6 linked regions of the Callithrix jacchus genome follow. Each later gene encodes a partner of the first gene's protein in a complex. Links are inferred from orthologs where the notes say so. Each region holds a gene or a part of one and is shown on either strand. Other genes may lie near its edges. The genes, in order: VTI1B, VAMP7, STX18, BNIP1, STX5 and BET1L.

What was found.
Region 2: VTI1B (region 1) and VAMP7 share a complex: the UniProt entries of both Homo sapiens proteins name them as parts of the SNARE complex. The link is inferred for Callithrix jacchus from reciprocal best matches to the Homo sapiens genes VTI1B and VAMP7.
Region 3: VTI1B (region 1) and STX18 share a complex: the UniProt entries of both Homo sapiens proteins name them as parts of the SNARE complex. The link is inferred for Callithrix jacchus from reciprocal best matches to the Homo sapiens genes VTI1B and STX18.
Region 4: VTI1B (region 1) and BNIP1 share a complex: the UniProt entries of both Homo sapiens proteins name them as parts of the SNARE complex. The link is inferred for Callithrix jacchus from reciprocal best matches to the Homo sapiens genes VTI1B and BNIP1.
Region 5: VTI1B (region 1) and STX5 share a complex: the UniProt entries of both Homo sapiens proteins name them as parts of the SNARE complex. The link is inferred for Callithrix jacchus from reciprocal best matches to the Homo sapiens genes VTI1B and STX5.
Region 6: VTI1B (region 1) and BET1L share a complex: the UniProt entries of both Homo sapiens proteins name them as parts of the SNARE complex. The link is inferred for Callithrix jacchus from reciprocal best matches to the Homo sapiens genes VTI1B and BET1L.

What each region holds. Positions count from the first base shown.
Region 1 is NC_133509.1:102,657,367-102,660,866, forward strand, and holds part of VTI1B (vesicle transport through interaction with t-SNAREs homolog 1B), read right to left. Parts: intron 1,512-3,500; coding exon 1,320-1,511; intron 1-1,319. UniProt on the Homo sapiens protein: V-SNARE that mediates vesicle transport pathways through interactions with t-SNAREs on the target membrane. These interactions are proposed to mediate aspects of the specificity of vesicle trafficking and to promote fusion of the lipid bilayers.
Region 2 is NC_133524.1:151,451,252-151,455,301, forward strand, and holds the start of VAMP7 (vesicle-associated membrane protein 7), read left to right. Parts: upstream 1-1,250; 5' UTR 1,251-1,373; intron 1,374-4,050. UniProt on the Homo sapiens protein: Involved in the targeting and/or fusion of transport vesicles to their target membrane during transport of proteins from the early endosome to the lysosome. Required for heterotypic fusion of late endosomes with lysosomes and homotypic lysosomal fusion.
Region 3 is NC_133504.1:184,727,321-184,731,406, reverse strand, and holds the start of STX18 (syntaxin-18), read left to right. Parts: upstream 1-1,286; 5' UTR 1,287-1,370; coding exon 1,371-1,538; intron 1,539-4,086. UniProt on the Homo sapiens protein: Syntaxin that may be involved in targeting and fusion of Golgi-derived retrograde transport vesicles with the ER.
Region 4 is NC_133503.1:65,516,282-65,519,781, forward strand, and holds part of BNIP1 (vesicle transport protein SEC20), read left to right. Parts: intron 1-3,388; coding exon 3,389-3,490; intron 3,491-3,500. UniProt on the Homo sapiens protein: As part of a SNARE complex may be involved in endoplasmic reticulum membranes fusion and be required for the maintenance of endoplasmic reticulum organization. Also plays a role in apoptosis.
Region 5 is NC_133511.1:120,112,070-120,116,215, reverse strand, and holds the start of STX5 (syntaxin-5), read left to right. Parts: upstream 1-1,346; 5' UTR 1,347-1,444; intron 1,445-2,125; 5' UTR 2,126-2,144; coding exon 2,145-2,369; intron 2,370-3,886; coding exon 3,887-3,957; intron 3,958-4,120; coding exon 4,121-4,146. Other genes in the region: WDR74 (WD repeat-containing protein 74), read left to right, coding at 273-452; TEX54 (testis-expressed protein 54), read left to right, coding at 655-1,023. UniProt on the Homo sapiens protein: Mediates endoplasmic reticulum to Golgi transport.
Region 6 is NC_133511.1:131,725,833-131,730,118, reverse strand, and holds the start of BET1L (BET1-like protein), read right to left. Parts: upstream 2,801-4,286; 5' UTR 2,734-2,800; coding exon 2,715-2,733; intron 1,543-2,714; coding exon 1,451-1,542; intron 1,181-1,450; coding exon 1,124-1,180; intron 1,007-1,123; coding exon 839-1,006; 3' UTR 1-838. Other genes in the region: RIC8A (chaperone Ric-8A), read left to right, coding at 3,791-3,874. UniProt on the Homo sapiens protein: Vesicle SNARE required for targeting and fusion of retrograde transport vesicles with the Golgi complex. Required for the integrity of the Golgi complex.

The sequences.
Region 1 (3,500 bases):
TCTCACTGGAGTGCAGTGGCGTGATCTCAGCTCACTGCAGCCTCTGCCTCAGCCTCCCGAGTGGCTGGGATTACAGGCACCCGCCAACACACCTGGCTAATTTTGTATTTTTAGTAGAGACAGAGTTTCCCCATGTTGGCCAGGCTGGTCTCGAACTCCTGATCTCAGGTGATCTGCCAGCCTCAGCCTCCCAAAGTGCTGGGATTACAGGCACAGGCATGAGCCACCATGTCAGGTGCTCTGTAGCATTTTCACTTGATAAATAGCATATAGACCAGTAGATGAGGAAACCACTAAATGAGGTTCAAATAAAACCAGTAGAACCACACTCCACCCGCCTGCCCTTTTCCAGCCTCCCTTTTCAAGTGATCTGTCAGCTTCTAATCTGTGACGATCCCTCGTACATCTGTGCGAAAATTTTAAAAACATCAGCCTCAAAATGTCTAGTTTTGCATCAGCAATGTCAAGCCAATATCATTTTCAATGTCTCTTAAACTATAATCAGGATGCATCATGAAACAGGAGTTGTTTAAAACTGTAGTATGAGCCTTTCTACCTCTGTTCAGACTGCACTGGTGGGCCCCTTTCCATCTCTCTTCTGTGTTACTTGCCAGGCAAGTCTTACTTTGTGTTGTGTTTATGGAAGATAGACCAAATGCAGCACATTTAACCTTTCAGACGTTTAATTTCTTTAACGACTAGCTTCTTAGATGGTTTCAGAATACAGATGTTCAATTAGTCCAATCTTATAAATTAGAATCCTGAAAACTAGAGAGCAGTCTGGCTCACTTTCCATTACCACAGAATAAAATGATAAAAAGCTCCACGAGAAGCACCCTGCATTGGCTACAGTATCTCAGTTGCTGGGCCATCTTGACATTAAGGTAAAGGAAAGCTTGGATTGATTTTGAAACAATACTCTGATAAATTAGAAACCTAATGGAATTTTCCAGGCATACTTGAGAAAGTGATTCTAAAATTTATATGAAAGAATAAAAAAGATCAAGAAGAAATTAGATCAATGGGTCAGAATCCAGAAAAAATAAGTAACACTTATATACTACTATATACAAAGCACTATTTTTATTATAAGACTGTATTATATTAAGGATAAAAGGAAATCTAAATATGCATATGATTAGAAAGGGCTACATTAAATAGAGCATATACCAAGGGAATAACAGGAGCTGGATGCAGAAAAGAGGATAAGGGTGAAAAAAATATTTTCTAGTATACACTGAAAACATGAAATAATCCAACGATATGGTTAATTTTTGTACCACAGGCCCTTAAGGAAAAAAAAGGAAGCTAAAACTTACCATATGCTCATTTTCTACAGCATATATGCCATACTTCATATCTCCTCGGCCTCCAGGCGTGGCTGTCAAAGGTGTGCTTCTCACCTCCCGATGGATTTTGGCAAGGTCCTTCCGGTAGTTTCGAAGCTTAGACATCATGGGGTTACGGAAAGAGAGGGGTGCATAACGTAGCTCCTCCTCCATCTCTGCCAGCTGGGAAGGCAGAAAGTAGTGAGTAGATGGCCTGGTTCTTCCCTCACTCATTTGGAAATATGCCTAGTTTGGATTAATCAAACTACTTATTTATTTGGACTACACCAAGTAAATAATTCAACCATATGCTACATAAGGCAGGACCATTTCTGGGATGTTCTTCTCAATCCAAATGCCTAGCACAGTGCCCAGCAAGCACAGAGCAAGCATTCAAAATATATGAACTGAATGAATGAATGGAGAGACAAAAGTATTTTAGAGCTTACTAAACATGTTTCTATATATCCTCCATTTAATCCTCATAACAAATCAATAAGGTAGCAAATGTTCCATTTCATATATGATTTACAGAAACCTGCTAAAGATTACACAAAAAGGAGGAGTCTGGACCAGGCATAGTGGCTCCTGCTTCTAATCTCAGCCCTTTGGGAGGCCTAGGCAGAAGGATCATTTGAGCATAGCCTGGGCAACACAGCAAGACCTCATCTCTATAAAAATAAAATTAAAAAGGAGTCAGGATTCAAAATCTTCAAATTCTTGGCTCTCTTCAATATACGGTTGAACACTGCCATCAAGAAGTGCTTTGAAGTCTACTGTACTAAAAACTTTTCCTGCTCCTCTTTCTGAAAATCAATCATGTTTGTCTCCATGTCAGAGACAACCAGGGGCCCACCTCAGAGCAGGTGCTTTAGAGGAATCAGACTTCCATTCTTCTAGGATAAGTAAAATGTAACACCTGGGGATGTTCACAAGCAGCCCTAAATTATTTTCATCTGCCTGGAATGGTCAAGGTAGGATTATTTTGTTGAGTTCGAAGAAAACAAGTATCTGAGCACCAAACAAATCAGTAGTAGCTAGATTTTTAAAAGGCTACCAATATGTTAATCAAAACAGGAGAATGGCTACAAACAGGTATCATGGACATGCCCAGCTGTACACAGGTATTAAGAAAAATTCCTAGTACTCCCATTAGGAAGAAGATAGTTTCCACAGTCTGGTAGCCTGGTCCTTCATAAAGCACATGCAAAACAGAGAAAAGGATGCAGATGTGCTTCTTTTTCACTGGGATAACTGGGAAATTGAGAAGTTGATCTTCAACAGGCAAGAAGGCAGTTCGCTGGCTAAAACAGAATTTTTTTCTCCATCTGCTCTGGGATGGCAAAAGCAGGGGCAACTATTTCTGCAGGGTTCTAGCAGGGACCAGGATTTTGGCCCCAGTCTTAATGGGTTTGCTAGAGTATAATGAAATGGAGTCAAAGGACTCTTGCTTCCATAGAGCTGGAGGAAAAACAAACTTTTTTTTTTAAAGAAAAGCCACAAGTGAAGAGAAGCAACTTCTGACAAACTTTAGGTCCCACCTGAAGCTCATGCATGTCTTGCCTGAGGTACCAAGTCCAGCTACAATGCTGTCTTTTAAGACAGAAAGGGACATGGTTAGAATCACCTCTGAGCTACATTTTCTGTGTCAGTAAGTTTAACAAAGAACAGTTTTTTTCTTTTTTTTGAAGCAGGGTCTTGCTCTGTCACCCACACTGGAGTGCAGTGGTGTGATCATGACCTTTCAGGCTAAAGTGATCCTCCCACCTCAGCCTCCTGAGTAGCTGGGTCCAGAGGCATGCACCACCAATCCTGTGTAATTTTTTTTTTTTGGAAGAGATGGGGGTCTCCCTATGTTGCCCAAGCTGGTCTTGAACTTCTGGCCTCAAGTGATCCTCCTGCCCTGGCATCTCAAAGTGTTGGTATTATAGGTGTGAGCCACCACACTGGCCAGTAACCTATCTTAATGGCCAGCTCTTAAAAAGAGATTTTAAGAGACTGCTTGGGTAAGGGTATGAGAATGCCCTTACTACTCACATCAGCAATATATTATCAAAGACTCATATTTCAGGAGAGTCTTCAGGTTTTACCCATTTGTGTTTGTCAAACCTCCTTAATACCCATCCCCATCAGTTGGCTTCATTTAGTAAAAAACAGTCAAAATCAAGATCA
Region 2 (4,050 bases), on another chromosome or scaffold:
TAGGATAGAACCCTATGGAATGTGAACATTTCAAAAGAAAATGAAGAGCTGCCACAGAGGTAAGAGGAGAAGCGGGAGTGTATAGCATCTTGCATAGAGCTAAGAGAATAAAGGAGTTCAAAAAGGAGGAAATAAGGGCCAGGCGCAGTGGTTCATGCGTGTTATCCCAGCACTTTGGGAGGCTGAGGTGGACTGATCATGAGGTCAGAAGTTGGAGACCAGGAGACCAGGAGACCAGCCTGGCCAATATGGTGAAACCCCGTCTGTACTAAAAATATAAAGAATTAGCTGGGCGTGGTGACAGGCGCCTGTATTCCCAGCTACTCGGGAGGCTGACGCAGGAGAATTGCCTGAACCCAGAAGGGTTGCGGTGAGCCGAGATCGCGCCATTGCACTCCAGCCTGGGTAACAAGAGCGAAACTCCGTCTCAAAAATAAAAGAAGAGCTTGACTCTGATTCGGCAACAGGGAATAGGGATGGAAGAGGGATGGGTTTAGATCAAAGGAGAGTAGTAGTTATCATTATTATTGCTAAAGAATGGGAGAAAGGATTGGTGAGGGGTACAAGAAAATAAGAACATTTCATGGCAAAAATAGAGGCACTTCCTGTCAGCTGAATTCTATTTTGTCGGTGAAGAAACAGGCAATGTTGCCTACTGAAACTAAGCAGGAGAGACGGGGCAAGCGTGGCTCTTCATTTATGCCGCCTACTCACTGCTGGTAGAATCTTTTCTTTCTTTCTTTCTTTCTTTTTTAAGACGGAGTTTCTCTCTTGTTACCCAGGCTAGAGTGCAATGGCGCGATCTCGGATCACCGCAACCACCGCCTCTTGGGTTCAGGCAATTCTCCTGCCTCAGCCTTCTGAGTAGCTGGGATTACCGGCACGAGCCACCGTGCCCAGCTAATTTTTTGTATTTTTAGTACAGACGGGGTTTCACCATGTTGACCAGGATGGTCTCGATCTCTTGACCTCGTGATCCACCCGCCTCGGCCTCCCAAAGTGCTGGGATTACAGGTAGAATCTTTAGCCTGCATTCTCTCATTTGCGTGGATCCCTATACGGCGTTTGACGTTGTTTACGGCCAGAGCTGTCCCCGGAACGTGGCCAGTCGGAACTACTACTCCCGGAATGCACTACGGCTCCTGGGAAGTGCGGGGGGGGCGGGGCTGGGAACTTAGCAGGCCTAGCCCTGTTGCCTGCTGCCATTGGAGGAGCGCTCCCATTCCCAAGAGGCCACGCGTAGGCGGGGCGCTTCACGCGGAAGTTAGCGGCGTCGGGTCCCAGCCTCCTCTGGGAGCGGGCAGTTGGCGACCCTGCGCTGACCCGCGCCCCTAGGTCCCGAGCCCGCGCGCCCTCAGAAGGTGCCCGGACAGGTAAATGGAGTGGGGCGCGCTCTGTGGGAGGCGGAAACACAACTGCGGAGGGAGAGGGAAGGTGTCGACGGAAAGGTGCTGGGGTGGAGCGGGTAGGCAGTGTAAGGGTGACTTGGGCTTCTCTGGTGTACACAGTACCGGTTGTCGGGCAGGTCCGGTTTCGGCGAGGTGCGTCTTTTGCCGCTGGAAAGGCCTCGAGTTAAAAAGAGTGTCAGAATGCGTCACTTAAGCTGTCATTACAGGAGGGAAAAAATGTTAATTTTCTCTCAGTTTGCATTCTACAAGACTTTTCTGTACCATTTAAATCGCTTGAGATCGACCGAGTCTTCTAAAAACTCTCTGCGTCCTTATTCGATGACGTCACTTTCCGCTTCACCTACTTCTGGCTGTTTATGCTCCTTCGTGGGTTCCTGGCCCCTTATTCACCCTTCCTCCACTGCTCATTATTGACAGTCCACTTCTTCCTCTGTTTGGCTAGGAACTGTATCTCCGCCTAGACCTGTTTCCTCATCTTCAGACCTGTTTGGTGTTTTTATTAACCGCCAATGTTTATCAAATTCTGACCACGTGCTAGCGTCTTTGGTAAACGCTTTACATCTCCCACTCCCATAACTCTCACAATCAGCTGTCTTCATTCGGCCTCATTTATTGCTTTCAACTACCTGTATCTCCATTCTCCCTCCCTTGATCCCAGAGATACAGCCATGTTAGGGATATTAATTACCTTTGAATACTTGTGGCTGAGAGCAGATCCATTCGTATGTTTAACAAATATTTATTGAGTGGCTGATCTGTGCTTGACACTCTTTTTTTTTTTTTTTTGAGACGGAGTTTCGCTCTTGTTACCCAGGCTGGAGTGCAATGGCGTGATCTCGGCTCACCGCAACCTCCACCTCCTGGGTTCAGGAAATTCTCCTGCCTCAGCCTCCTGAGTAGCTGGGATTACAGGCACACGCCACCATGCCCAGCTAATTTTTTGTATTTTTAGTAGAGACGGGGTTTCACCATGTTGACCAGGATGGTCTCGATCTCTTGACCTCGTGATCCACCCGCCTCGGCCTCCCAAAGTGCTGGGATTTTACAGGCATGAGCCACCACGCCTGGCCGACTCTCTTTTTAAGTGCAGGGGATACAGCTGTAAACAAGACTTAGGTTGCTACACTCAGGAACTTACATGTTTGTGTCTAGAGGGGAAAACAGAAATAGGATTATGTTATATATTGCCTAATGTGAAATAAAACAGGTGGTTGACTTGAAAGGGTGGGATCCTATCCTAAGAAAGTCAGAGAGATTGGATTGGGTCTCAGAGCATCATCCAGAAAGAATAGTTGTAATACTAACAGGAATAATCTTGATCTATAACCTGACTTCATAAACACCTCTCCTTTTCCCCTTTCTAAGCAGTGTTTATTCTTCATTTTTTCTATCTCCTCCAAGCTTATTGCATCCGAATTCTTGGTTTATCTGTAGTTACTTTATTCTTTCTAACTCCCAGATGGAAGAGTTGGGGATTGGATTACTGTTAGCTCAACTGCTTTATCTTACTTCAAAAGGTGATTTGGTTGTGAAAATATTATTCTTACTAGGTCTTTCTGAATATAAAGTTATCTATCATTTATAGTGTATTTAAAACCAAAGTATGCTCAATGTTCACTTACTTATTCAACAAATACTTGAGGGCATGCGCGGTGGCTCAACCCTGTAATCCCAGCACTTTGGGAGGCCGAGGCGGGTGGATCACAAGGTCAAGAGATCGAGACCATCCTGGTCAACATGGTGAAACCCCGTCTCTACTAAAAATACAAAAAATTAGCTGGGTGTAATCCCAGCTACTCGGGAGGCTGAGGCAGGAGAATTGCCTGAACCCAGGAAGCGGAGGTTGCGGTGAGCCGAGATCGCACCATTGCACTCCAGCCTGGATAAGAGCAAAACTCCGTCTCAGAAAAGAAAAAAAATACTTGAGGGAAGGTTAACTGCTAGGCACCGTGCTGAGCACTGGGAAAGTAGGGTAAAATAGACACTTTGGCCTCTCTTCCACGGAGAAATAATCCTAACAGTATAGTGAGGAAATTCCTAAGGCATAAGCTGATACCTACATTCCTGTTATTCACCCAAGGTGAGATCATCACAAAGCATTAAGAAATTTCCTGAGTGGTTGTGGACAGTCTTAGATTATTCACTTATTACACTTTATCACATTTATTTATATCTGTCTTCCTCATTGTACCATGGCTCCCTCAAGTATAGGAGTCCCTTCTTCATCAACTTTATACCTCCAGTGTCTACTTTGACTAGCATATAGCAAGCCCTCAGTACATATGTGTTGAACTGAAATAGAAAAACTCCATATCTGATCAAATTTAAATGACATGATTTATACAAGACCTTCTCTATGTAAGGCCATCAGCTGTATTCCTCAATCTTGTCATTCACCAAAGGTGGACCATTCCATCTCATCAGGCTAGTTTATGTACCTTCTTTACCTTGTTCTCACCTCTATGCCTTCTCTTGTTTCATCCGTTCCTCCTAAAATGATCTCCCATCTCTTCCCGAGCACCTTGTCTACCGCCTTACTTTAGTGGGCCAGTTAATTTAATGGTCTGCTCATGATACAAGAATGGAGGCCGGGCACGGTGGCTCACGCCTGTAATCCCAGCACTTTGGGAGGCCGAGGTGG
Region 3 (4,086 bases), on another chromosome or scaffold:
TGTTCTGCATTCATTCCGTTGCAATATCACACACAGTCTCTAACAAACTCAAGTGTATACAACTCATGAGGAAGTGAGAGTGAAAAGGCAAGTAACGTCTTAGTATTATGAAAAGAGTTTTATATTGGTGACCATTTAAACCACTGCATTAACACATATTCTACTTGTGCATTCTCTTTATGAAAAAAAATCTTGAGATTTTGTTTTAACACTGAACCATAGGCCAGGCAAGGTGGCACATGCCCAAAGTCCCCGTCACTCAGGAGGCGGAGCGGGGGAGGATCATTTGAGCCCTGGGGTTCCAGTGAGTAGTGAGCTAGGATGGCGTCTTTGAACAGCCACTGTAATCTCACTGGGCAACATAGTGAGACCCCCATCTTAAACACACACACACACACCCCAGAACCATGAACCAAAAAATGCAGAAGAAACTCATTGACTGACTTGTCATTGTTTATGACTCAAGATTTGAAAACTATGCATGAAGGATGAACAGAATCCAGCGGCATTAGGGTCACCCTTTCACCTCTGTCTCCATCTAAAGTTCCTATTCATCCTTCAAATCTCTGCACAGGTGACGCCTTCTCTCTAGAGCCTCTTTCTCACCACAAATAAGATTATAATAATATTTATTAATTATAATATTTATTAATAACATTTATTAATATGTTTTTATTATTATAATAACAACATATTAACGATAACTACCATTTATTGGCCACTTACTGGGAGCCAAGAAACACCAAAACAGCACGCGTCGGGTCATTTAATTTTCACAGTAAACTCCGAGGAGGATGCTGGCTTCCCTTTACAGAAGAGGTGGCGGAAGGCTGGAGAACAAAGGCCTCTGGCTCTGTGCCCTGCACACCTGCTCTGTCCCAGCACTTATTGCACCCCGAGGGTCACCGTCCACGTGCCTCTGACATGCTCAGGGTGAGTCCTTGCAGTCAAAGGTCAAGGGGGTCTCGCCTTCGCGTCCCCCGCAACCAAATCGTCCGGGCTCAGTGAGGGAGCCACCAGAAGGGAAGGAACTTCCCAGCTTTCCGGTCTTTATGCTCCCGGAGCCCACAAGCCCCAGACAGACATAGGAGAGCTCTCCGTGCTGCTAAACCCTCCAAGCTTTGCCTGGAGAAGGGACTACCCGTGAGCACGTTGCCGGGTCCCTCCTCCTCTAGGCGCGCCAGCTTAGGCCGGAACCTTTTTCCTCCCGCCGCGGTAGCCGGGCGCAGGCCGGAACCTTTCTTCTCGCGCCACCGTTGCCGGGGGGAGGCGTGCGGGGTAGGACCAGTCCTCTAGCTGGCGGATTAGCGCCGCGGTCGCTGGCTGCTGACGTGGGCGGGTCCCGTTTGGGGCTGCGGGTGCGGGTCGCTATGGCGGTGGATATCACGCTGCTATTCCGGGCCAGCGTCAAGACCGTGAAGACGCGGAACAAGGCGCTGGGAGTGGCGGTGGGCGGCGGGGTCGATGGCAGCCGGGATGAGCTGTTCCGCCGGAGCCCCAGGCCCAAGGGCGACTTCTCCAGCCGGGCCCGCGAAGTGGTAAGCTGGTTGCTATGGAAACGGCGGCTTGAGGAGGGGACAGACCTGCGACAGGGACCCCAGGCCCCAAACCAGACCTCGTCCCTTAAGCATTGTGTAAAGAGTGTGGCCCCAAGGAGGACAGTACAGTTGGCCTCAGCCGACAGCTTCTGGGGGAAGGAGCAGCCTTATTTTGAGGAAGGGGGACGCATTATTGGGGAACGGATTTCTCCTTCGGCGGCGGGGTTTAGGGGGCGAAGAAGAAGACGCTCAGAAATCTCTATCTGGAAAGTGCATGGGCGGCTTTGTGAGGTCATGAGATCGCTGTCATTACAGACTTGCACTCGGGAAGTTTCCTCACAGTCCTTCGCTTCCTGTCGAAGCACTGACCACACTGTATTTGCCTGTTCTGTTTGCTTGCCTGCCTCCCACCCCCAGTTGAGATTAAAACCGTATTAAACCGAACTCTTTCTTTACTTTGTCTTCGCAATAAGTAGGACTCAGTTCCGCTTGAGACAGGTTTAGGATAATCTTTCACAGTGTTAAGTCATCTCAACTACTTTCTGTTTCCTGGACAGAGCAGGTGTTCCTTCATCTCCCTGGGACTAGGAACCTTTTCGTTAAGGGAAGGGACAGTGTTGTTTTCATCTCAGAATGCATGACTTATACAGCATTGCTTAGTAAATGTCTGTTGAATGAATGAATGAATAAATGGCTGTCTTTACCACGAGGCAGAAAACTGCACAACGGGAGAGATGTTTGTCTTGTTCCCTATTGTATATGTGACACCAAGTGGGGATCTAGTTTTTGTGGGGCCTAAAGCTTATATAATTCTGTCTCCTCTTTTTAAGAAGAAAACCGCCAAGAAAGGTTGAGAGCTTTGGAAGTTTGAAGTGAGGGACCCTGAAGCTTAAGCTTCATTAATTTCACGCTAAATCTACCTCTGCTTGGCATGCACTTGGCACTGTATAGACATTCAGATATTTTTGAATGAATGTATGCATGCGTGCATTAATGACAGTTAGCTGAAGATACTTAAACCTCAGAAAGGGGATTGGACCAGATGAATACACTTACCCCATTGATGAACATCTATGAAGCACTTACCTTTTGACCAGCCTCATGTTAGAGTAACATGATGTAAAAGGAGTGGTTGAGGATACGGACATAGAAATAAAACAAGTACTGTAAAGCCCTGTAAGTGTTGTGTAGGGCACAAAGAAGAATGTGGTCAGTTCTACCTGAGGATCAGAAAAGGCTTTATAGAGGTGATGATGCTTCAAACAAGTCTTGAAAGAGGATTAGTTGGTTTCAGTACAGACAAGGTGGGGAAGGGCATCTCAGGCTAAGAGCATAGTGTGCGCTAAGGTCTGGAGGTAGGTAATTGTCTGACATAAGTTGGTTCATAAACATTTGAGTGGGACTGGAATGTGGGACTTCTCATAAAAATTGGAATAGAGTGGCAGCAGGGGGAGATCTTGAAGGGCTTTGTATATCACTGCAGAGTTTGAATTTGGCCTTGTAGGTGGGCAGATGTTATATGATAGAGAAAGCACCAAAGATGGAGCGAGCCAAGAGACCAGGTTGTTGTCTGACGGTGCAACTATTAGCTACATGATTTCATTAAGCAAGTTTTAAGACCTTATTTTATTTACCTGTGAATGATCCTTTTTTTTCCTCCTCCTCCTTTTAAAAAACTACCTTGATCCTCTCTATATAACACATCAAAGTGAGAGCTACCTAGGTTGAAATGAGAGGAAGAGAAACAGGACATTCTCCCTCCCTATACTCCCAGTTTGTCCCAAGCACTTCCTGGGGTTCCTTTTGTAGAACTGTGGTATAATATTGTCTTTTGAAGGGCCCCTTCTAACTCTGAAACCACTGATTTATTAGCACTGTGCTAATTTTGAGTCCTGCTCAAGGAAAGGGGGGATTTGGGAATTGGAGAGGCAAGAGGCAACAGTTGGGTTGGCAAGCCCTTTGGAGAGTCCTGTAACCACTTCCACCTCTCCCTGAGTGGTGAAAATGTGTTTTAGGCATTTGAGTTTATGGGCCTCAGAGATAGTAACAGCAACAGTCCCTTAAGGTGCTGAGTTCCCTGTCTTTGGAAGTCATTAAACAGAGTGATGACTGCTTTTTAGAGATGTTTGAGAAGAACTTTGTCCATGTGTCACAGGGTTGGACCACATGGCAGTGAAACTTCCAATTCTGCTATGTATTGATGTGGGTACGTGTCACATCACCTCAAGTGAGTATATGGGCTGTGTTGTTCAGGGACACAGTCCCCCTGACCTAGAGGAAACATATATTCTTTTAAGCAGTTTTGATTTTCTGTTGTCATTGCTTTGTGTGTTATCTTCTATACTTGCAACTGTTTCCCACTCCGCATCTTTTCTTGTGGAAAGTTTAACTAGAAGAACTAGTGATGGATGTCCTGTGCTTTCACTACAGTTAGATGTGTCAAAAGTTTGGTGTTATTTTGTTTGGCCTGGATTCCTTATACAGAAAAGTCTGGTGCACATATCCTGATTCAGATTTAGCCCTGATTGTCAGACCTAAGGAAATGTAG
Region 4 (3,500 bases), on another chromosome or scaffold:
AGATAATTGGCAACAGAAAAATTCTACAAAAGGAAGACCTACTTAAGGTGGACCAAAATTTAGAAGGTTTTTGAGTGGGATGCTATTAAAAAAAAATGCAACAAAAACCGTAAATTAAACAAATGAGGTCAAAAAATAAAACCAAAATTGAGGTTATAATTGCAGGTGCATGCTAATCCTTGATTATGTAATTACAGCTAGGTGCCATTTCTTGTTATTGGATTGGGAGAGGTTTAACTTTTCCAATGAAATTGTCAGACAACATGAACCAGTACCTTTCTCTTCACATTTGACTTTTGTACAAATCTTAAAGAGGGTTTTTCCAAACATATTTGAGGTATTCAGATCATTCTCTCTCTTTCTTAAAACTTTATTTTTGGTCAGGTGTGGTGGCTCATGCCTGTATTCTCAGCAGTTTGGGAGGCTGAGGTGGGTAGATCAGCTGAGGTCAGGAGTTCGAGACCAGCCTGCCCAACAAGGTAGAATGCCGTCTCTACTAAAAATACAAAAATTAGCTGGGCATGGTGGGTGGGTGGCTGTAATCCCAGCTACTCTGGAGACTGAGACAGGAGAATCGCTTGAACCTGGGAGGCAGAGGCTGCTGCAGTGAGCTGAGATCGCACCATTGCACTCCAGCCTGGTGACAGAGTGAGACTCTGTCTCCAAAAAATAAAAAATAAAAAATTTTAGAAATGAGGTCCCACTCTGTTGCCCAGTCTGGAGTATAGTCATAGCTTAATGCAGCCTCAAACTCCTGGGCTCACGCGATCCACTCACCTCAGCTTCCCAAGTAGTTGGCACGCTCCACTGTGCCTAGCTAGATCATTCTCTTTTGAAGCTCCTGCTAAGTCATCATTCCCATGGATTTTCTCTTTATCTCTTGTTCAGTGTTCTGCCTCTGCCAGATCTGTATTTGTGGCTTTGCTTCTGATTTGAGCAATTTGCCAGCATCATCTTCCCTGAAAGCAGCTGTGTATGTAACAGTCAGCTGCCAGGAAGACACTAACTGGCAAAAACACAAGTACAGGGAGGCCAGTGTAAGCACGGAGGGCTGTATGAGTGACGGGCAGTGATCCAGGGCTTGACTCTTTCGTGATTACTTTATGTTATGATGGCTTTTGCTTTCCTGAGCCACCAAGCCTACTCAGATTATAAACACTGAGTACAGAGGAGCCCTTGTATAAAGTATAGTAAGTTATGACGGACACACTCAGCTTAGCATGGGTTTAAAGCAGGGAACGTTTATCCACGATGTGGCGTTACAGGCCAGAGCAGAGAAAGCAGTCAATTTATACTTTGGGGCCAGGTGCAGTAGCTCACACCTGTAATCCCAGCACTCTGGGGGCCGAGACAGGAGGACTGCTTGAGCCCAGGAGCTTAAGACCAGCCTTGAACAACAAAGCAAGACCCCATCTATTTAAAAAAAAAAAAGAAAAATTAGCTCTGGGAGTGGTAGTGTGTGCCTGCAGTCTCAACTACTTGGGAGGCCAAGGCAGGAGGGCAGTGGGCTTGGTTGAGGCTGCAGTGAGTCGTGATCATGCTACTGCACTCTAGCCTCGGAGACAGAGCGAGACCCTGTCTCAAAAAAAAAAAAAACCTTTGGCAGTTGAAACAGTAGTTGTGCTTGCTTGGGTCATCATGCTTGTCACATCATACAGTGAGTATCTGTTTGCTTGTCTTTTTCTTAAATGAATGTGTGAATGTAAGGCCTTTGAGGAGAGGTATGGCCCCTCAGTCATCTCTGGATCCCATGCTCTGCAAAACTCTGCAGAACTCCCTTGCAAACTGTTTCAAAATGTAATGGATTCTTTCAAAGTGGCAGGTGTGAAATGGTAGAGCGGGTACTCATTAAGACCTTCAGCATAAAGGTGCTATTAGAAAACCACCCTGTCAGTTCATGTACTCTGTGTTTTGATTATTTAGTATTTCCAGGGATTAGCACAATTGGTTTGAGCTACCTATGTAAGAATTCTGAAGTATGAGTTGGATTCTTAGAGGGACTCAGTTAGCTTTTTTATAGTCTATCAACAGCTGTGACATTTCTTTTTTTTTTCTTTGAGATGGAGTCTGACTCTTGTTGCCCTGGCTGGAGTGCAGTGGTGCGATCCTGGCTTACTGCAACCTCCGCCTTCCGGGTTCAAGCGATTCTCCTGCCTTAGACTCCAGAGTAGCTGGGATTATAGGTGCCCACTACCATGCCTGGCTAAGTTTTGTATTTTTAGAAGAGATAGGGTTTTACCATGTTGACCAGCCTGGTCTAGAACTTCTGACTTCAGGTGATCCACCTGCCTTGGCCTCCCAAAGTGCTGGGGTTACAGGTGTACGCCACCACACCCATCTGTCACATTTCTAACCCCAGAAAACTGTTCACCAAATTTCCGTTATCACCTACAAGGGAGTGCAGATGAAGAATGTAGATCAGCCATAGCAATCAGGGTGCTGCTCATCCACCATGTTTGTGTCATTCATGGTTGGTCTGTAGTATGGAAAGAACAACAAACCTTGAAGAAATATTTTGAAAGATTGGCTTTTTGTGATTTTTTTTTTTTTTTATCTTGAGACAAGGTCTTAATCTGTCACCTGGGCTGGAATGTAGTGGTACCATCATGTCTCACTGCAGCCTCCACTTCCCAGACTCAGGTGAACCTTTCTCCTCTGCCTCCTAGGTAGCTGGGACTATAGGCATGTGCCACCACCATGCCTGGCTAGTTTTTGTATTTTTAGTAGAGACGGGGTTTCTCCATGTTGCTCAGGCTTGTCTTGAACTCCTGGGCTCAAGTGATCCACCCACCTCGGCCTGCCAAAGTGCTGTAATTACAGGGATGAGCCACTGTGCTGGGCCATAAGTTTTTATTTCCTACAATATATATGAAGTCAGCAGCTGAAGGGCCAGAAATGGTTGTTCAAGGTACTGGAGATGAGTAAGTCATGGTTTTCAAGGGATGGTATGAACTAATACACAGGCCATAGCAGTACAGCCTTAGAAGCAACTGGAAAGAAGAGGGGCCTGTGTGCCGAGTTGGAGAGTTTGGATGCCTCCCTGAAGTCCAGCCATTGTGGAGCTGTGCACAGGGGAGTGCCATGTTCACAGCCCCTCAGGATGACAGGGGCAGCGGGATAGCTATAGAGCCTCCCTGTGGTGGCCTCCAGGGACAGCTATAGAGCCTCCCTGTGGTGGCCTCCAGGTTGAGGGTTACCAGGACCTGAACAAGAACAGTTGCTGGGGGACCAGGAGGAGGAAATGGCAGGAAGTAGGATGGGCTCTGAAGGCCATGCCTGCCTGGGTGGCCTTTCCCCACACTCCTTTGTTGGTGGGAACTGCTGTGAATTGAACTGACTTATGGCCTGGTGGAGTAGACACACTCACACGTGAACCTTTTCATTCCAGCAATCAGACTTCATGGAGGAAAGCTAATCTTACCTGCAAAATTGCAATCGACAATCTAGAGAAAGCAGAACTTCTTCAGGGAGGAGATCTTTTAAGGCAAAGGTACCTGTTC
Region 5 (4,146 bases), on another chromosome or scaffold:
ATTTCTCTGAGAGGCATTAACAGTTAAAATCCTGAGAGGGTTATTGCCAAGAATATGGATGGGGCTGCTTTCTGGGAGTGGGGAATAAAGGTGGTGGTACCCAGAAGTTTTTTACTTCTTTTTGTGGAGGCGGGGTCTCCTTATGTTACCCAGTCTGGTCGCTAAGTCCTGGGCTCAAACAATCCTGCTTTGGCCTCCGAAAGTGCTGAGATTACAGGCGGGAGCCACTGTGCCCGGCCCCCCTGACTGTGAAGCTTCTTCCCACTCACCAGGATGAGCCCCAAGAACCTCAAGAACCCAACAACGTGCCCCTAGAAGACACAGAGACAGATGAACTTTGGGCATCCTTGGAGGCAGCTGCCAAGCGGAAGCTCTCAGATTTGGAGCAGACCCAAGGAGCTCTCCAAACCAGGCGGAGAAAGAAGAAGCGGCCTGGGTCCACCAGCCCCTGACACCCCTCTGTGCCCAGTTTGTAAATAAACAGCTAAACACCCTCCATGACCCTGAGCCTTTTGTGATGGGAGAAAGGAATGAGGGGTAGCTTGAGGTGGGGGCTCCCTGAGCTGGGGTGACGGGATACCTAATGTCACAAAGCCGGGCCTGGAGCCAGGCAGGCTGGTGTGGGTGGCACGGAGTCTGGGGCCGCGCGGGGCCATGGGCTGCTGCCAAGACAAGGACTTTCAGATGTCTGATGAGCAGGAAGAAGAGTCCGAGGACCTCGGGGAAGGTGAGGCCACAGATAAAAGAAGAGGGCCCAGGGAGCGGGAGAGGGGGCTTCCTGAGGGTAGGGCTGAGCTCAGAGGCCTCATCGTCCCCTCAGGCGCCGAAAATATCCACGTGAACGCCCCAGACCACCGGAATCACAAGTCGAACGAAAGCCTTCTGATCACTGTGCTGTGGCGGCGGCTATCCTTGTTCAGTCGTCGGGGCTCCTCGCGGGCAAGCAAGAGGCAATCAGACGTGGTTCGGAAGAAGGAGACTCCGATCCGAGAAGGCAACCAGGAGGAGCCGGAGAAGGGATGACTCCAGACCCGCTCTTAGTCCACCCGTACCTCCAGAGAATAAAATTTCTGACGTGAACCTGCAAGACCGTTCTGGGGACGGGGCGCGGACACCTCCGGGCGGCTGGCTCTTTAAGGCTCCTCCCCGGAGGCGGGCCCAGCCCCCTGGGCTCCGGCTGTTGTCTTCAGGGGCGGGGTCATGGTGGTATCTTAGCCAATGGGATGGTGGGGTTGCTCTTGCGTTTGGTGAGGGGCGTGTCTCTCGGATAGCCGGGCTCGAAAACGTGTGGGACCGCCCCGTCGTCACCGGGGGTGGGGCTACGTGTGGGTGACGTGGCCGCTTCCAGTCTTTGGTCGGGTTTCGGCGGCTTCGGTTCCCAGGGAGGAGGCGGTGACGGCCGGGGAGATTGGCAGTGGTGGCGGCGGCAGGCGGCAGAGGGGAGGTAAGATTCGCTTTCAGAGGGTGTCTGGACACCGTGTCAGCTCCGGGGTAGTGGTTTTACGGGGGCGACGACTGGCGGGGGGAAGGGAACCAGGGGCGAGCGGGCAAGTCCTGCCGGCCCGGCTCCCGGTGAGCGAATTCCTTGCCGTCCAATTAGGAAAGCCTCTGTTGAGAGAGACGTCGGCCTTAGCTAATGAGTGATTGAAGTCTTCCAGAAGGCGGACCTTGGGCGGGGGGTGGGACTTCCTGTTTCAAATAAACACCCAGAGGTTTGCCCCTCCGCCCACCGAAGTGTGTCCCTCTCTGGAGGTCCGTCACCCGCTCTCCCTGGCCGAAGGAAACCGCAGATACAAAAGGGCTGGGTAGGGGCAGTTACACAGGCCAGGCCAGAGTCTCAGGACCACAGGACTTGGCTCGGGCCCTCTCCCTGCTTCAGGGTCCTCGGCCCGCGTTTTGGCCGTCAGAGCCAAGTTGAAAGAAGAGTCTGAAGAGGGTTCGACTTGGGCCAGGGGAAAATCGGGGCCCTTTCCGCTGCGGGCCTGCTCCAGGATCTGCGAGCGCCTTGGGCGCGAAAGTCTTTAAAAAGTGCAGAAGGGGCTCGAGGATTTGTTGATTGGGACGGGGCTGGGGAGTTTGGGTAAAGAAGCTGCCTGGGGAAATGACACTCTCCCCTCCACAACAGTCCGAGGTTATGCGTCTCAATGATCCCGCGGAAACGCTACGGGTCTAAGAACACGGATCAGGGTGTCTACCTGGGTCTCTCAAAGACACAGGTCCTGTCCCCTGCAACTGCTGGCAGTAGCAGCAACGACATCGCCCCTCTGCCCCCCCCAGTGGCCCTCGTCCCTCCCCCTCCCGACACCATGTCCTGCCGGGATCGGACCCAGGAGTTTCTGTCTGCCTGCAAGTCGCTGCAGAGCCGTCAGGTAAGGACCTGCAGTGGAAAAGGTGAGGAGTGACTCTTACTCAAATCTAGGAAGGACTGTGCTCCAGCACTGTTAACTGAAGTAATTCTTGGGGAAACCTGATGGAACTGATAGGCTTGGATGGGGCTAGTAAGGTCTGCTATAAGTAACAGAGAAGAGGTCGGCTGGCTAATTAGAGGCAAGGACTTAGACATTTTTTAATGAGGAATCCCCTGGAGTGCAGGATTGCTATTCTGGAGAGAGTACTTCAGGGCCAGACTTGGCTGCAATATAATTGGTGTGAATAAGGAACAAGTTGTAGGAAGAGCCTTTAGCTGAGAGACATCCACCTTGAATTTTCCAGTATACTTCTGCCATAAGTTTGCTCTGTGACCATGAGAAAATTAGTTAATCTAGTTATGTCTTTCTTAGTTTTTAATCTCTGTAAGACGAAGGACATTTTTCTATATCAGTAATTTGTTGTTTTGTTTCTGTTTTGTTTTGAGATCTAATTTCAGCTCTATCAACAGGCTGGAGTGTAGTGGTGTGATCATAGCTCACTGCAGATTTGAACTCCTGTACTCAAAGGATCCTCTTACCTCTCGGCCTCCTGAGCAGCTGGGGCTACATGGATGTACCACACAGCTAATTTTTTTATTTTTTTGATATAGCCAGTGTCTCACGATGTTGCCCAGGTTGGTCTGGGCACCACACCTGGCCTAGATCAGTAATTTGTATCAAAATCAATGGGTTGGTTACGGTGGCTCATACCTGTAATTCCAGCACTTTGGGAGGCCTAGGCTAGGCCAGAGGATTGCTTGAGGCTAGGAGTTAGAGACCAGCCTGGGCAATATAGCAAGACCCTGTCTCTACAAAAAGTTAAAAATTAGCTAGGTGTGGTGGTGTATCCTGTAGTCCCAGCTACTTGGGAGGCTGAGCGGGAGGATCGCTTGAGGCAAGGATGTCACGGCCACAGTGAGCTATGATCATATATTCCAGCCTGGGAGACAGAGTGAGACCCTGTCTCAAAAACAGAACAGTTAAAAAAAAGTTTTTTTTTAACTATTCATCTGTTGGTAAAGCTGCTCTTCTATGTGATCTCCAAGGGCTTTGCAGTCATCCTCACTGACTTCCCGATTTGAGGAATAGAATGGCAATACAAGCTACCATTTATTTAGTGCTTACAATGTACCAGGTAGTTGATGAAAGTACTTTTCAGCTTTTTTGTTATTTAATCTTAGCAACAAGAAGCGGAGAGGTGTGGATTGTCTTCATTTTACAGAAGGGGAAATAAGAGATTCAGAATGTTTTAAGTAACTCGTTCCCAAAACCCCTAGCTAGTAAGTAGCGAGTCAAGATTTGAACTCCGGTTTACTTGTCTTCAAATCTGGAGTCTAAACCACTACCACTGATAAATCTAGATCATTGGATGGATGCCACCAGTACTAGAGATAGTTTAGTGGACACCTGAGGAAGAGTGAAAACTGGAACTGGGGAAGGGGGATCTAAAGTTGTCACCTCCTGCCATTGCTTTTCAGAATGGAATCCAGACAAATAAGCCAGCTTTGCGTGCTGTCCGACAGCGCAGTGAATTCACCCTCATGGCCAAGTGAGTTGAGAGAAGCTTTCTGGTGGGGTGATACAATGTCTGAAGAAAAGTAGGCTTGCCTTCAGTGGCCTTGGCTGTGAAGTCTGGGATTGGTTGTGCTGGAGCTTATATGGGAAAAGGCCTTCTCCTGCCCTTTCCCAGTCTCACTAGTGGTCGTTTGCAGGCGCATTGGGAAAGACCTTAGCAACA
Region 6 (4,286 bases), on another chromosome or scaffold:
AGGCGGCAACTGGAGTCCTCACAGGAACCTTCCTGTGTAGATCCACAGGTTTGCCTGACTCTGAAATGCCAAACAGGCCCACTTCTAGGTCTGCTCTCCCGAAAACACGTCTTTGGTGCTGGGCTGATCCTGACTCCTGAGAACGCAAGTTTCTGCTCCTGGATACAGTCACATGACCCAGAAGGATCCAGGCGCAGCCACTAGGCCAAGGCTGCAGTTCACTCCATCCACACCCCAGTTCTCCCCAAGGGTCTCACTTCATCCGCAGGACTGGAGAGCAGGCAGAGAAAACTCACAGCAGAGTAGCCCACGCTGGTCTGCCCATGCCTAGCAACCGTGGCCAGAAGGAACCGTCATCTCCAGGCTGAGAGGCCTCAGTCGGAGGAGATGGCACTCACTCAGGGTTCACAGTCCCTTCCTGTGTCAGCTCCAGGCACCTTGGATCACAGACATGGCCTCACCCAGACAAGGACACAGCCATAGGGCCTTAAGATGTCAGCGTCCCAAGAGCTGGGAGAAAGGCTGCAGGCCTCAAGTGGCTACGTCTGGGATTCAACAGCTGCTGCGCTTGGACCTGGCTCCTCCAGACATGCTGTGGCCCCAACTCTGCTGGTGTCTCTAGCACCTGGGGGAGGAGGGAGGGGCTGGCCCTTGGTTTCCCCAAAAGAGAGTCCCTTCCACAGCCAACATGAGCTCATCAGGTCACAGGCTGCCACAGCCTCCTGCCCCACAGGAAGAAGATTCCAAACCCACAATTGTAATTTCAAAGGAGTATTTTGTAGGTAAGTTCTCTGGAGCCCAAGACGCCAGGCACCCAGAGACACCAGCTCCCACTGGTTCACGTCCTTGCCCTCGACAAGAAGTAGGAGAGGATGAAGAAGACCACAATCAGACCCATGGCCATGCCACACAGAAGCTTCCGGTTGTCCCGTCCAGACCTTGCCATTGCGGAAAAGCGCTTCACACTCCCTGTAAGCAGGCCGGTCATGCTTGTGAAATCCGAGTCCTAAAGGGGGAATCCCAGCAAGATCACACAGAAGTGGTGATTTCACCACCCACCCGCACCAGTGCTGAAGGAGACACTGCAGGCTCTACAGCAGGTAGTGTTGGGGCAGGCCCTTACCATGCCATCCAGGTACCGGTTCTGATCCTCTGCGTCCCTGTCGATGTCCAGGGCAAGCTGTTCAGCACAGAGAGGGCAGGGTTGGGCCAGAGCAGACACATAATGCAGCACTCACCCTCCCCAGACCAGACAAGCCCTGCCAACAACTCTGCCAGAGTGCTGCAGCAGCAGAGAGGTCCAGGTGGGGCCTCATGCAGGTGAGCACAGCCACAAAGCACATGAGGATAGAAAACTGCCTGAAACTCCTCTGGGCCGTCTGCCTTTCCTCTGACCCCCACCCCCCAAGGGCACATGGTAGAGGTAAGAGGACAGGAGACCACCACTGACCGATTTGAGCCTGGTGACTTTGGAGGCCAGGCTGTCGGTCATTCGCTTGTTCTCCCGGTCTAGTATCTCTTCCACAGCACCAGGACTCTGACCTGAGAAGAGAGAGAGGCTGAGGGGTTGCATCCACCGGTGAGCACGGCCCCTGACCCGTCGCTCCAACCACATCTGGGTGAGTTGGAAATCCAGGGGGACTGGGCCCTGTGTCTGCTGGGCAGGTGGCAGACACAAGGCCCTAACCAGGTTCCAGCAGGTGGATCTTGCACATGTGAGGCAGGCTGCATAAAGAACGATGTGTGTAAGTAAGCGCATGTCATGTGAACACACGCCCTGTGTACACATCCAGGTGGGGATGGGCAAGCACCCACAACAGGCTCGGTGCAACCAGCAGTTTCCCACACTGTGTAGCAGAAACTGCACCCAGCCCTGGGATGCTGGTAAGATGTGACACTTGCATCCATGGAGGTCCCATCTGTGTAAAAGTGTAGGAAAGGCTTGGGGAAAGTACCCAGCAGAGCAGTAGGAAGGCTCCTACAGGGGCGACTTCAGAGCTGGCTCCTGAAGAGGTGGCAAGGAACCAGGACAGAATGTTGAGAAGGCGCTTTACCGCACAAAAAAAGGTCTGAGCCAAGCTCCCAATTCCCCACCATGGGAGCTGAGGTCGACCAAGAGAGGGATCCTTGGTCTGCATCCCACAGAGGGCTTCCCGCAACACCCAGAGCATAGTGCTTGCAGCGGCCTGGCCTGTGATGTGATAGGCTGGGCCAGGTGATAAGGAATTTCTGTCACATCAGGTAGGTGAGAACCACCTGCTGCCTAGCTTCAATGTAAGCAACGGGTGCAACACAGACAGGCAAACATCAATATCCCACTTTGCAGACAAGAACACGGGCTCCGGGAGGGGGACTGGGGCCATCGAGGCCCAAGTTAGCAGACGCCTGCTTGGACACCAACGGTGCACGCGTGGCCTGTACTCCTAGGGCCTGGCCCCGGGACCTGCCGAATGCGGAGGCTCCCGCACCCCGAACCCACGCAGAACGATCTCACAGGGAATGGCGGAGAGTTGGGGGACCCCGCAGCTGCGCGACCCCTCGCTGGAGCGGCTAGGCCGCCCCCTCGGACCCGGAAGGATCCGAATCTGCCCCCGTGACAGGGTCCTCTCCGCCGAGGACAGTTTAGAGGCAGGCGTACGCGGCTCTGCAGGTAACAGCGTCGGCTCCGGCCGGGCCCGGCCCCGCCCCCAACGACTCCGCTCTCTGGCGCTCACCCCTAGCCCAGTCCGCCATGGTGCCTTCCCCGGCTCTTCAACGCCGACACCGACGCGGCAACCGCCGCCTCGGACGTGGCGCAGTCAAGGGGCAGGACTTCCGGCCCCGCCTCCGCAGCGACCACGCCCCTATATGCCCCTGCCCCTTCCGCCTTGAACTCGCTGACTTCCGGCTGAGGGCTACGAGTTGGGAACCGCCGGTCGCAGGAGCGCGGCACGGATGTGCCTTTCATTTTCCGCACCGTCCCAGGCTGGCGTGCAGTGACGCGATCTCGGCTCACTGCACCCTCCGCCTGCCGGGCCAAGCAGCCCTCCCGCCTCGGCCTCCCAAGGTGCTGGGATTACTGGTGTGCGCCACCGCGGATGTGACGTTTGTTGTTCCTGTGAGCGTAGGGCGGGGCGGGGCTGTTGGCTCGGTGCCAGGACTACGGTGTGGGATAGACGCTTCCGTGGGTTAGGTCCTAACGGCGGGGAAGGATTCACAGGCGCGTCATGAGGAGGGAGCAGGCCCCCCCGAGCAGGAGCCCTGTTCCCGGCCACTTCCTGTCGTCCGGTGTCAGCAAAAGCAGCGTTTCCTCGCTGCCCGTTTTGAAGCACAGCCTCGTGTCCTTTGGTGTTTGCTTGTGTGCCTTCCCCTCGGGAACAAAAGCTCCGCGAAAGCATGGACCTAGGAGTCCCGTTCGCCTGCGTTCCCCAGCAAACGCCTAACGAACCCGATGGCCCAGGACTGAAAAGTCCCCCACTTCGGCTCCCCCTCCACACCCCATCCGTTCTGTGGAGATCCAGGGGCGGCGCTGTGTGTGTGGCAGGGCGAGGTGGGGGCTGAGATCCTTTCCCGTTGGAAATTCCTGCCCAAGAAGCGCGGGTCACAAGGAGAGGGGTCAGTTCGGTCGAGGGCGACTCGGGTCTGGAAACCTTCGAACCGCCGCTTCGGCTCCAGGCCGCGCCCCCTGAAGGCGCCGCCCGACGCCGCACCCCGTCCCGGCCTCCCATGCGCGCTGGCGCGGAGCTCTCTGGGCCAGGGCGGGGCCGGCGAATTGCGGCCCGGAACGGCTGGGGCGGGTCCCGGGGGCGCCATGGAGCCCCGGGCGGTTGCAGCAGCCGTGGAGACGGGGAAGGAGGATGTGATTATGGAAGCTCTGCGGTCGTACAACCAGGAGGTGAGCCGCCGCCGGAGGCCGGAGTCGGGCACGCGTGGCAGGGACGGGTAGGAGAGCGAGGCAGGGGCTGTATCCGGAGGCCGGGGTCGGGCACGCGTGGCAGGGACGGGTGGGAGAGCGAGGCAGGGGCTGTATCCGGAGGCCGGGGGGGGGGGCACGCGTGGCAGGGACGGGTAGGAGAGCGAGGCAGGGGCTGTATCCGGAGGCCGGGGGGGGGGGGCACGCGTGGCAGGGACGGGTAGGAGAGCGAGGCAGGGGCTGTATCCGGAGGCCGGGGTCGGGCACGCGTGGCAGGGACGGGTGGGAGAGCGAGGCAGGGGCTGTATCCGGAGGCCGGGGGGGGGGGCACGCGTGGCAGGGACGGGTAGGAGAGCGAGGCAGGGGCTGTATCCGGAGGCCGGGGGGGGGGGGC